3 linked regions of the Oreochromis niloticus genome follow. The protein of the gene in region 3 purifies or fractionates together with the protein of the main gene of each other region. This does not show direct contact. Links are inferred from orthologs where the notes say so. Each region holds a gene or a part of one and is shown on either strand. Other genes may lie near its edges.

Evidence for each region. The genes of interacting proteins can lie anywhere in the genome.
Region 1: the proteins of marchf5 (region 3) and mfn2 purify together in Homo sapiens (affinity purification with mass spectrometry; 5 studies listed by BioGRID and IntAct, counting the BioPlex papers as one, with this or other methods). This does not show direct contact. The link is inferred for Oreochromis niloticus from reciprocal best matches to the Homo sapiens genes MARCHF5 and MFN2.
Region 2: the proteins of marchf5 (region 3) and mfn1b purify together in Homo sapiens (affinity purification with western blotting; 4 studies listed by BioGRID, with this or other methods). This does not show direct contact. The link is inferred for Oreochromis niloticus from reciprocal best matches to the Homo sapiens genes MARCHF5 and MFN1.

Annotation. Positions count from the first base shown.
Region 1 is NC_031984.2:35,410,806-35,414,559, forward strand, and holds the start of mfn2 (mitofusin-2), read right to left. Parts: upstream 2,868-3,754; 5' UTR 2,504-2,867; intron 1-2,503. UniProt on the Homo sapiens protein: Mitochondrial outer membrane GTPase that mediates mitochondrial clustering and fusion. Mitochondria are highly dynamic organelles, and their morphology is determined by the equilibrium between mitochondrial fusion and fission events.
Region 2 is NC_031986.2:45,570,750-45,574,503, forward strand, and holds the start of mfn1b (mitofusin-1b), read right to left. Parts: upstream 2,652-3,754; 5' UTR 2,508-2,651; intron 1-2,507. UniProt on the Homo sapiens protein: Mitochondrial outer membrane GTPase that mediates mitochondrial clustering and fusion. Membrane clustering requires GTPase activity. It may involve a major rearrangement of the coiled coil domains.
Region 3 is NC_031978.2:26,274,759-26,278,512, forward strand, and holds the start of marchf5 (E3 ubiquitin-protein ligase MARCHF5), read right to left. Parts: upstream 2,480-3,754; 5' UTR 2,081-2,479; coding exon 2,037-2,080; intron 1-2,036. UniProt on the Homo sapiens protein: Mitochondrial E3 ubiquitin-protein ligase that plays a crucial role in the control of mitochondrial morphology by acting as a positive regulator of mitochondrial fission and as an important regulator of immune response.

The DNA of each region.
Region 1 (3,754 bases), on a different chromosome or scaffold from region 3:
CCTAAATGTGAAAAAGACCAAATTAAATGGTCATCCTCAGAAGGAAGAGGACGGCTACACAGTCCGTGTCTATCCTGGGACAAGGACTACAAGTACTTGGGCGTCCACATCCACTACAGGGTGAAGTGCATGACCAGCACAAAGCATGAAAACAAGAACGGAATGAGAAGGCTCTATTTGCTAAGGAAGCTGATATCCTTCAACATGGGCAGCAATATGATGGAGATTATCTGTCAGTCAGTTGTGGTAAGCTTACTGTACTTTTTCTTTGCTGTGGTCTGCTGGGGCAGCAGCATCAGAGCTGGTAAAAGTAACACACTGAATAAACTTACTAGGAAGGCTGGCTCTGTGATTTTAGAACTTAAAGAACCTAAATAAACAAGTGAACAAAAAAATAAAATAAACAAACAACAAAATATCTAACATCTAAAAATGTATTATAGAAAAGTTACAAATGAACTTTGGATGAAGTGTAGTACAAATAATAATAAGTTAAAATAAAAAAGTTTTTGTTTTTTTGTTTTTTTTAAAAAGAGTGCTCACTGTGAAAGACTGTAGCAGTCACTGACCTCACAACTGCTATATCTAAATCAGAAACAAATTTGAAAACAATATTGTAAAAGTAGAAAACTTAAAGATTTTCATCTTGTCCCCTGCAGCTTCTCTCTCATCCACCATCCATGCTGACCCTCCTCAGTCTACAGCTCATTCCCCCTCAGCTCATCTAATTCTTCTGCTCTGCACTGATTTCACTCTTTATCGCTCCCACTAGTTCTCTACACTCTGGACTCCCTGCTCAGTTCAGTTACACTTCCCCAGTTGCTCTGGACAGCCAGCAACCCACCTGGGACTCCACGTATACCTAATCCATTCTGTCACGGCTCAATATTCCATCTACAGCCGATTCAGCCAGCACCAATTATTCATCCTTTATCTAACTACAGTCCACTAGTCCCATGATGCATTGAGTTTTTCCTTTCCAGTCACCTTTCTCACTCAGTATGTGTTAATAGACCTCTCTGCATTGAATCATATCTGTTATTAATCTCTGTCTCTCTTCCACAGCATGTCTTTATCCTGTTTTCCTTCTCTCACCCCAACCGGTCGCAGCAGATGGCCCCACCCCTCCCTGAGCCTGATTCTGCCGGAGGTTTCTTCCTGTTAAAAGGGAGTTTTTCCTTCCCACTGTCGCCAAAGTGCTTGCTCAGACTGGGTCATATGATTGTTGGGTTTTTCTCTGTACCTATGAAGCGCCTTGAGGCAACTTTTGTTGTGATTTGGCGCTATATAAATAAAACTGAATTGAATTGAATTGAATAGTTGTTACATGAATTGCTCAGTGGCCTTAAGGTAAAATACTAATAGTAAAAGGGTTAATGTTAATGGGTGCAGTAAGCCAGGTTAACAGTTATGATAACTGTTTAATACTGACTTCTGAACATCAACCTGAAGTATTGGTTTAGTGTGATGAAGGTTAACTACTGCAGCCACTAGTGAGGAGGAGCAGCGGGTTTGTGTCAGCTGGAGGAGGCAAAGATGGCACAGTTTGTGGATACTGTTGCAAATCAGTATCTAAATTCAATATAAAATTTAGTATTCATATCTGAATACTCTTCTCTTTTGAGAACTTGATACAGGGTATAATACTATAATACTACAACCTGTAACAAAATAACTTCCCAAACATGTGACATATAAAGTATAAGCCTCGAACCACAAAGTGCTGGTAAATCAACACTAAGCAAGTTTCTTTTAAATGAATCAGGCTCCGTGTAATATCTGGGTAATAACTGCTTCTTATTGCTGATACCTGCTATTAGGAAAACATGAGCCTGATGTCAAGTCGTTTCTGCCAGTGTGGAAAGAGTACACAGAGAGCAACGGGCTAAAACGACTGATGACGACTTCCCGCACAGCTTTGGAAAACTACACTGATCATTTTTAGCACTCATGTAGCACCTCCGCTACATGAGTGCAGGTTTATGAGAATACTGACAAAGATGGCACTGCAGATCTATGAAAGCTTCATTACATTTGAAAAGAATATCACGAGTCGATCTTCAACTCATCCACGCAGAGTCAAAACCAGCTAAACATGCTGGTTCCGCTCTGTCACCGCCCCTGCGACCTTTCACACAGTGCTGAAGATAATATTGCAGCAGTGCCATCAATCTCTTAATGCTGCTTTTAATATAAACACAAATAAAAGAAAAATACTCGGCACGTTGCGCCAAGCTCTTTTAACACTGAGGCTTTCATCATCTTTGTGCAAGCTAATCTACATGTCATCAAGTACTCCGGCTGGACAAGCTCTGCTTAAGCTTCTGTTTCTCAGATGTCCCTCCATCTTTGTTCTTGACCATGACACAGAGTCCTGGTAACAGTTTGGAGTAGCAGCTCAAGGATAAATTACGAACTAGTTGACCTGTCAACCAACTTCGATCAGGAGCTAAGGCTAGCTTCACTAACAGCTTGCTAAGTCAGAGCCGTGGGTGTGCCTTACCGTGGATGGAGTCGTTCTTCACAAACAGTCCTCTTGCATTGTGCCCCCGAGGCTTCTGAATGCTCTACAAGTCACCGAGCTACCCACGAGCCCACACACCTGTACCTTATACTGATAACTCAAGTTAGCTGCTGCTGCAGCGGGCGTCTCTGCGTGTTCCAAGGACCTTAAAGTACCGAGTTTGACTTTGACCGCGTTGGTTTCTAGTAAACCCCAAAGACGTCAAACAGTATACTTTAAAGGTTGTTCTTTATATATTTTCTCAGCGCACACTTCGTTTCAGCATTGTGTCGACTACTCCGTTTACTATCTGCGCGACCCGCTCTCCTCTTTAGTGTCAATGGCAAACAGCTCTAAGGTGGAATACCGCCACCTGCTGGATTGGAGAATAGCTGTTGTGCCTCTGGTGGCAAGGTATGGAAGTAGCAGGGGCGTGGCTTTTAGCTGATGCTTACTGCTATGTGAGCCGCTACCCATGAACAAAAATACTTGTGCTTACAGTATTTTATGCTCTTTTCATAAAGTCTGTAAGTTTGAATGAGTCCCATATTTTAAACAAAGAAATAACATCAACCAGAGACAGTCTAGAGAAACCCATAGTTACTGTCATTATCAGAATGATCTGAAAATAGCTTGTATTTTGGCATTTTTAGCATTAGACCGGTTTTACAACAGCTTCACACACAGTGTATTTTATCAGTATTTAACAAACCAGCTTGCAAATGTTGTGCTTTAATTTAACAATCAACAAGACCCATTTCCACATTACTGCGAACAGCTACATTCACCTACAACAAATGCCAGATGTGTTGTTCACTGAGATAGACGTGTCAGAATCATCACCATGGAGATCTGACAGGATGTATGATCATGAAGTACCAGCAGATCCTTCATGGAAATCTTCTTTAGAACTCCAACATAGGCCTGCCCTAAGTAATGGAAAAATCTCAGCACTATAAGAACAATGTAGAGCAACCTTTGTTTTGTGAAATGTTAGAAGCCCTGAACGCCGTCCTCAGATAAAGCAAAGAGGCTCTTGATTGTTTTTTACAAAAGTTACATACACTCATATAGAAAATTTAAAATATGTACAGTATAGTGCAAAAGTCTAGAGCTACCTCATTTCTTTATACACTGCTAAAAATAAATAAATAAAAGAAACACATTTTATGTAGCATCACACAGGAGAAACTCCCTTATAACAGGAAGAAAGCTCAAGCAGAACCAGCAGAATCATAATTTGGAGCTGGT
Region 2 (3,754 bases), on a different chromosome or scaffold from region 3:
GTGTAAACCGAGTGTAAATTCACCGGAGAGCGACGTGTTTCCATGATCGCGTCTGGTTTTACAGTATTATAGTATCAAAGTATTTTTCTAGACAAAGTATTCCCAGCAGGTTATTTCAGTGTACAGTTTAATGTAAATTGTCTTCCACACGGCACATTACAATGTCACGAAACTAATATTAAATTAATCGAGCCTGCCGTTTTCCAGCTTTTACTCTTTATTGCGTCGACTGCAGATCAGTGACAAGTAGCGTACAGAACGGAGCTGGGCAAGTGGCTCCTCCTACTTTGCGCGCTCTCGTGGATGGGGAAACAATTTTTGACGGGGGTAACTACTTTGGCACAACACCTGTAAGTTCTAAATATGTTCATATCACTCTTTATAGCCTATTAGTTTTATTTTCGATGCGCTCTGAGGTCATAGCAAATTAGAACAAACATCCTACTGAGTGATTCTGCAGAACTACCTTCTCTTTATAGAGTTTCTAATTATTTGGCATTATTGCAGCAAACCAGCCTATGAAATGGATGAAACACATCGTGACTGGGTTCCAGTGCTACATAAGGGACCTGCTTCAAACATACCACCATGCCAATCAGATTACTTCTTCCATGTGAGGGTGAAGAGGTGACCCTTCTGGATAAGATGGTGAAGGTTTGCTGCGTTTGTTGAACAGTGTTATAGTAAAACCAGGGAAAATGAAACTTGCTCCTGTTAAATATTCTTAAGTCTTTTGCTGTATAAATAGTGGTATTTTTTTTTTCAAAAGATACAGTAAATAATGTTAGTAGTGGGTGATATCATGTAAACACTGTCATGATTTTGTGTAAACATTTTGTCTTTTATAAACTATAAATGACATGGATTCTACATTGTAACTGATGTGATGTTCTATAAAGTGGTTTTAATAATAAAAAAAGAGGCAAAACTTAGTTTGTTTCTTTATTCAACTTTTGAACAGTGGTACTCAGTCAGTACATATTCAGTAAATGCAAATAATTTACATGGCAGTGCACTACAGGCATAAATTTAGACCCCTAGATAAAACATTATGGCATTATAGCAGTGACAACTCCTCCACAGTAGCAGGTGGGATTTTTCTTTTTTGAGGACGGCTCCTTTTACCTTTCATTACGGATGGTCTGTTTATGTTTTGATCAAGAGCCTTTTTTTGGGCAGCTGAAGAGGAGAAGTCTCTTATGGCCAACCTCTGGCTGTATCTTGGTCATATTACCAGGCAAAACCCAGTATGCAGGTTCATCTGTAACAGTCCTTGTGCCACAGATCCGCACTGTTGCTTCTACATTAAACAGAAGAGCAGCGACATGGGTGCAGGTCTCCACGACTCCGGCCACACGGGTGCAGTGGGCGGCTTCAACCTTCCCTGTGATGCTCACAGTGACCCATGGCTGCAATGCTGGTTCATTCAGTCTTTGAGAGTGCAGCACCTGAAACACACACAGACAAAGTTAATTTAAAGACAAGAACTATGAGCCAAGGCCGACATAAATGTGTTTTATCTACTTTATCATAAATGTAACAGTGTTTAGAAAGTTAGCACATACATGTCATTTTTCATTTCTTTATGTGTCCATCTATAGAACGCTGCATTTTATAGGGTAAATCTGCCTGTTCTCTGTCAGAAACCTGCCTGCAGAAAATGAACCTAAAGCATGTAATGCAAGGATGTCATCACTTTAGAGATGGAGAAAGCATAAAGTGACAATTATGAATCACTTAATATGATAAGGAGATTCTGCAGGTCATTAATCAATGTATAAAACTAAAGATGTATTTTTAGTGACACAAGATACAAATATTGAAGCAAGATGTATAATTAGAATTATTTATAATAAATATGAATAAATCATTGCAGTTTCTTTAACCATAGAGAATAACTAAATCCTTCAGGACAATGTCACATCAATGCACTGAACTCACTATGTTATTCACCTAACAGCCTCCACATGTTCTCACTGTAATTTCACCCTCATGAATGAATTTATGCTGCACTAATCTGAATGTTTGCAGGGAAATCAAACGCATTTCACTCGCAGTACTCGAGCTGACTTACCTTTGTTTGAATGACGAGTTGTAGCGCTGACTCCACAGATAAGGTACGAAAATATGTCAGGCTACGTCAGTAGCGGTTGGTCTTCAGGGTTTCTACTCCACCGCTGTGTTTCATACCGGTCCACATTTCCAATGCACGCGATTTTCTGCAAGTACCGCCGCTTCGCCTCTGGACGCAATCGGTCTCTATACAGTCCATTCTCTTTTGAGCTGCTTTTAAGCATCTTGTAATCGTAGTTCGTTTTGATTCGTAGACCCCGAAAATGGTGCCGCGCTCCCACAATGCATTGCGGCGTGACGTCAACTCCAAAGCCCCTTCTGTAAATGTGACCGCTGCTAACTGATGTCGCTTTAGTTTATTTACTGTTGAACTACGTGTGTTTTCCTGTTTTACCGCTGCCATTGTTTTTAGAACTTAAACGTGTCATCCTTACCTGTGTATATCGAGTCGATATTGTTTCTCTCTTAAACCGCTTTAGCGGTCAATGTCCTGACCGTTCAATTAGAAGCTTTCTTTTATTTTCAAACTTTAAGTGTCTAGACTTCCTGTTCTTCCACTTGACGCAGCCCCCTCCAGCGTCAGCTCCATTCTCAGGACAGGGGGCGGAGATAAGTGACGAAACGGTTGTCCGGAAACAGCCAATCAATGAGCAAAGAATGTGTCCGACCCGGAGCTCTCCTTTACTGTAAACGCCTGTCCGGGATATCTATATACGATTGTTTAGAGTCTTTAAAAGACAGACTCTCTGCACGTTTCTGCAAAAACCTTCTAAGCATTTAGTGAAAGTGAAGTGAAAGTAAAACAAAAAAACTGTGAAACTGAAAACAATAAGAACCAAACCCGGCAAACCTGTTATGAACACCAAATTAAACTAAAATCAAATTTAAAACGAAACCAAAGGTAAAAACCTTTGAAAAATGAAAATAAGACAGTAACTCAACTCAGGTTACCCAAATAACAAGCCGTGGGTGACTAAGGACATCAAAGCCCTCCTCAACAACAAGAAGAGGGCTTTCAGAGGGGGCAATAAAGAGGAGGTGAGGAAGGTCCAGGTGTTACTAAAGGACAAGATCAGAGAGGCTAAGGACAATTACAGGAGGAAGCTGGAGTGGAAACTCCAGCAGAACAGCATGAGAGAGGTGTGGAGGGGCATGAAGACTGTTGTGAAGGAAGGAAGGCTCAGGGTTTAAATAATCAGCATCATGGGCTCATCCGATCAGAATGAGAATAAGCAGTCATCTAATCATTCACAGGGTTCTCCTTTTATTCTCAATTCAATAAAGCAAAGAAGGAAAGACACACATGGACTGCCAATGCTCTGCTGCCGCCCCGTGTGGGAGTGAAGAAAGAGTGAGCCAAAGGTGAATGCAGTCCTTATATACTGTGTGACAGGTGAGTGCAATTAAGGACAAGCACCACACCCAATTAAAGGTGAGAGAACTAAACAAGGTGCACCTGGTGAAGTGAGTGGGTGTGCGGGGATATGCTAAAAGGTGAGTCTTTTCAACAAAGACCATCACTGGATTCAGGCCAACCAACAGCAGGGGAGCTGAGGGAGGTGAGGATAGAGCTAACGAGTTGAATCTGTTTTTCAATAGATTCGACACCACAGTGTCTGCTCACACCCCTACAACCTCACCTGTAGTCAGCCTGGAACCCAGAGCCACACCACTGTGCCAG
Region 3 (3,754 bases):
GATTTTATGAAAACTAACAATATATAGCACTGAAGGATTTGTCTGTGTCCTTCACTTTTGTGTATTGCCAATATAAACAGAGGTAAGATGATAACTTGCATGACTTGGCCTTTTTCACAGACAATTTATAACCCCAACAAAACACTCCTCCAAATCTCTGACTTGGATTACTTTGTATTTCAAAACATATCACAAAGTAAGTGCTGTTGTTGACCGATCTTTCTGGGCAGGTGAGATCATACCCACTCAGTACCCACTCAGGTTTGTTCAGCTGATTAAATTGACGCTTTTTACTAGAATTGTTGAATTGAGTGCAGTACGAATAAAGGCCACCAAGTCAGTAAACTGTATTCTGTAAACTAAAACTGAGTTTTCCCTATTGTACATATGCAGGGGCTTTTAACTACAAACTTGGTGATGTAAGAAATCACTGCAAATGAGAAAGTTTATCTGGCAGCAGGAGCCAAACCTACATGACATCACATCAACCCACGGCAACAAACACAATGCTCCAAACACCTGCAAAACTTATACTTCTTTTGTGTCTCATTAAATGTCTCTTACAGTATATAAACCTGTTAGGTGAGTTAAGCTTTAGCCTCATTACTTAAACTACAATATGGTAGGTATTTGCAAAGCAAAAGTATAACTGCTTTGACAGGGAAATTGTTTAACTTCTGTTTTAAGAATCGCATCCTGAATTACACTTTGCCACGTAAAGTTATCGTTTCTCTTCATCCTATATAAGCAATGACTAAAAGCAACTCGAAATGCTGAAAGTGAGATTTAAAAAAACAAAGTCAAACACAAGCTAAGTAATTCTTTTCTGAAAAGGAATTGAACTTGTCGCTGCAGGAGTTCAGATCACAAATATTGAAAATGCCTTCAAGGTGTGGATCTGAAGGCAAACTATAGGGAAGCTGTGTCTATACTAGAGAATAAAAGTACCTTTGATCAAGTGTAGACCTCATACAGCTTCAAGTGAACTAAAATCTTTCTATTATGTGGCTTTACACTCCATAACGCCACTGAGGTTCGGCCTGTTGATAAACTTCTACTCCCTGTCATGATGAAAGTGAAAGGAGACCCTTTTTGACCAGAATGCTGCTTGACAGAAACCATGGCTGAGCTGCTTCTTTCTGTTGTGAAATATCCCAGCTATGACATGGTGATAAAGCATTGATGAAAATATGTTTAAGCAGACTTGCTTTGTTGCTGGCTACAGAAACAGCTCCTCATCTGCTTCCAATTACGTTTGCGTCTGTTGACACTTGCTGATTGTACAACAAAATTATTCCCCATGATGTAAGCGTTTTGTATTCTCTTCTTATATATGAGTGTATACAGTATATGAACTTGTGGAGTTCTGATCTTGCGCCTCAGTTACATTCACGTGTTCTTCTTTTGTTCTACTTGACCGCAAACATTTCTCGACAGGCATTTTGGAGCACCCTGAATCTGATTTTCGCTTTTGTACAAGTACGCAAAAACAAACTTTGTTCAGACATCTTACTAAAGAATCGAAAAGATTCTCTTAGAAATTAATGAACGTTTCAGCTGCCACAGAAATTAAATCAGGTCTGATGTAACACAGATAAGCAGGTTTGTTCTCAACTATGAACGTGACATTTTCAGGTATTTTACTGGACGCGGGGTCCTGCCTAAGGGTCAATAGTTAACAAGCCAAATATTTGGACATTTCTCCATGGCCTTATGAATTGTATCCAGTTTGAAAACACAAAATAACTGGCCATAGAATTACTTAACACAATATCCACTAATTCGTTGGCAGGAGCTAGGAGTCCAGGACTTCCTTTGTAAACTAAAAATTCCCTGGCGAGGGAAACTTAATGATAATCAGAGCTGAGTTGAAAGTTCGTATCCTGTTAAAAAAAAATTATAGTGTCTCACTTAAAGCCCAAATTGGGGGACGGTATTCTGACAATACCGTCCCCCAATTTCTCTTGACGACTATTTTGTTTTTAAGTTTAGCTATGTGGCTGCCATTAGCATGCTAGCCCCAAACTTGAACTCACCTGTCCAAATTCTGCTGCATGCCAACTGCGTTCTGTTCCGCCATTGTTGTAGAGGCCAAAAAGGTTCAGCTGTCTTCTTGGCGGAAATTAATTGCGTTACAGGTAAAACATTCGAAATTTAGTTCTCGTTAATTTGTTGCAGCTAAAGTCGACGAAGAAAAAAACACAAAAAACACCTGCTAGCAAGTTAGCTGTTGAACTAATGCTAACAAGCTACATAGGCCTTCGCCCAGATGCGGTGCAACACCCGCAAACAAACCGGTATTTTTTTTTAATCAAAAAACTATTCCTCCTCCTCCAACGCAGTCTACGTAACACTTATATGCGTTCGATGGGCTATTTCGGGCAAAATTCTTCTTTATATCTGCCACGGCCTCGTATGGCGTGACTGTTTGACTCCATTGACAGGCTGTCTCTGAGGTAACGCAAAGACACCACGTCTGTGCGCATCTACGTAATCAAAACAAAGCAAGCACCGCAAAGGCGAGCATGGGAAATGTAGTTTCACAATATCGCTCTCTCTCGCTCTCTCTCTCTCTCTCTCTCTCTCCCTCTCTTTCTTTCTTTATCTCTTCGCTGAATGCCCAAATAAAAGCTCTGAATCATCTCCAGAGTTGCCAAGAAAGACTATTAGAGGTGTATAGCCATTATTAGTACGCACTGCGAATGTAGTTATTCCCGTTCGTACATGCGTGTACGCGAGTGCGAACCACGACAAATGCAATAATGTGACAAATACAGTCCAATAATCTCAGAGAGGAAACCTTATCCATAATGTGACTGCGTGAGAAGCGATTATACATATTTAAAAGACAATCTCTGAACGTGAGAACATATTTTTTAAACATAATGTTTTTCTATCCTTTGTGCTCGTTTGTTTTCCTATAATGTGCCTGTTTAAAAAAGCATAGTTACATTAAATTCAATGGGACTGACAGACAGAAAGACAGACACCTTTGCTGACCGGCCACTTTATCGTTTGAAACTACAACTCCCAGCAGTCTACGCGCCAGCGTCCATGCGCCGCAGTCAATCAGCTGTTCAAGCAACTGCTGACTACCTCGGCACAAGGGTAGCTCGTTTGTCATATCTAAACCCAGACGAGGCAAACAAGAAATATCTTTATTTACAGAGTCCCCAAAAGGTGAACGATAAAGGTAAATTCAAACTTCATGTTAGGCAAAGAGAAAACCAGGCTGTGTGTGCATGCTGTTTTGTCGTTTTTGTGGAGGGAGGGGGGAGCATGTGGATTATACAGAGGGATTTCAAGACAAGACAGCTTGATGAAATGTATATCGGGTGCCTCGATCAGCGCGATAAACAGGCAGCTGAAGGGTCAGGTTTTGCCTTGTGTGTGTGGTAAAGAGCCGGTGAGGTGAGCCACCGTACAGGCTGCTGATTGTGCTTCTTTGATGACCTTGGAATCGGGAGATCCTGGAGGAGAAAACACGGATTAACTGGTGGGGTGTGTGCGAGTGTATGTGTAACGAAGGCTGTTGCGATTAAACATGAAATTCTTACTTGTGTTGCTGTCATTATAGCACTGAAATGATCTGTTATGTCAGTCTAGAGACTACTATTGAAAGGCCTGTGTGTAGGTTGTATGTTAGCTCTCTGGAGACAGTTACCGATCAACAGACCAGAGGAGTCTGACAATGATTTGACACCAAAGTGTCATATCTCATAGTTGTGCCTTTTGCTCCAGCTGGCAGAATATA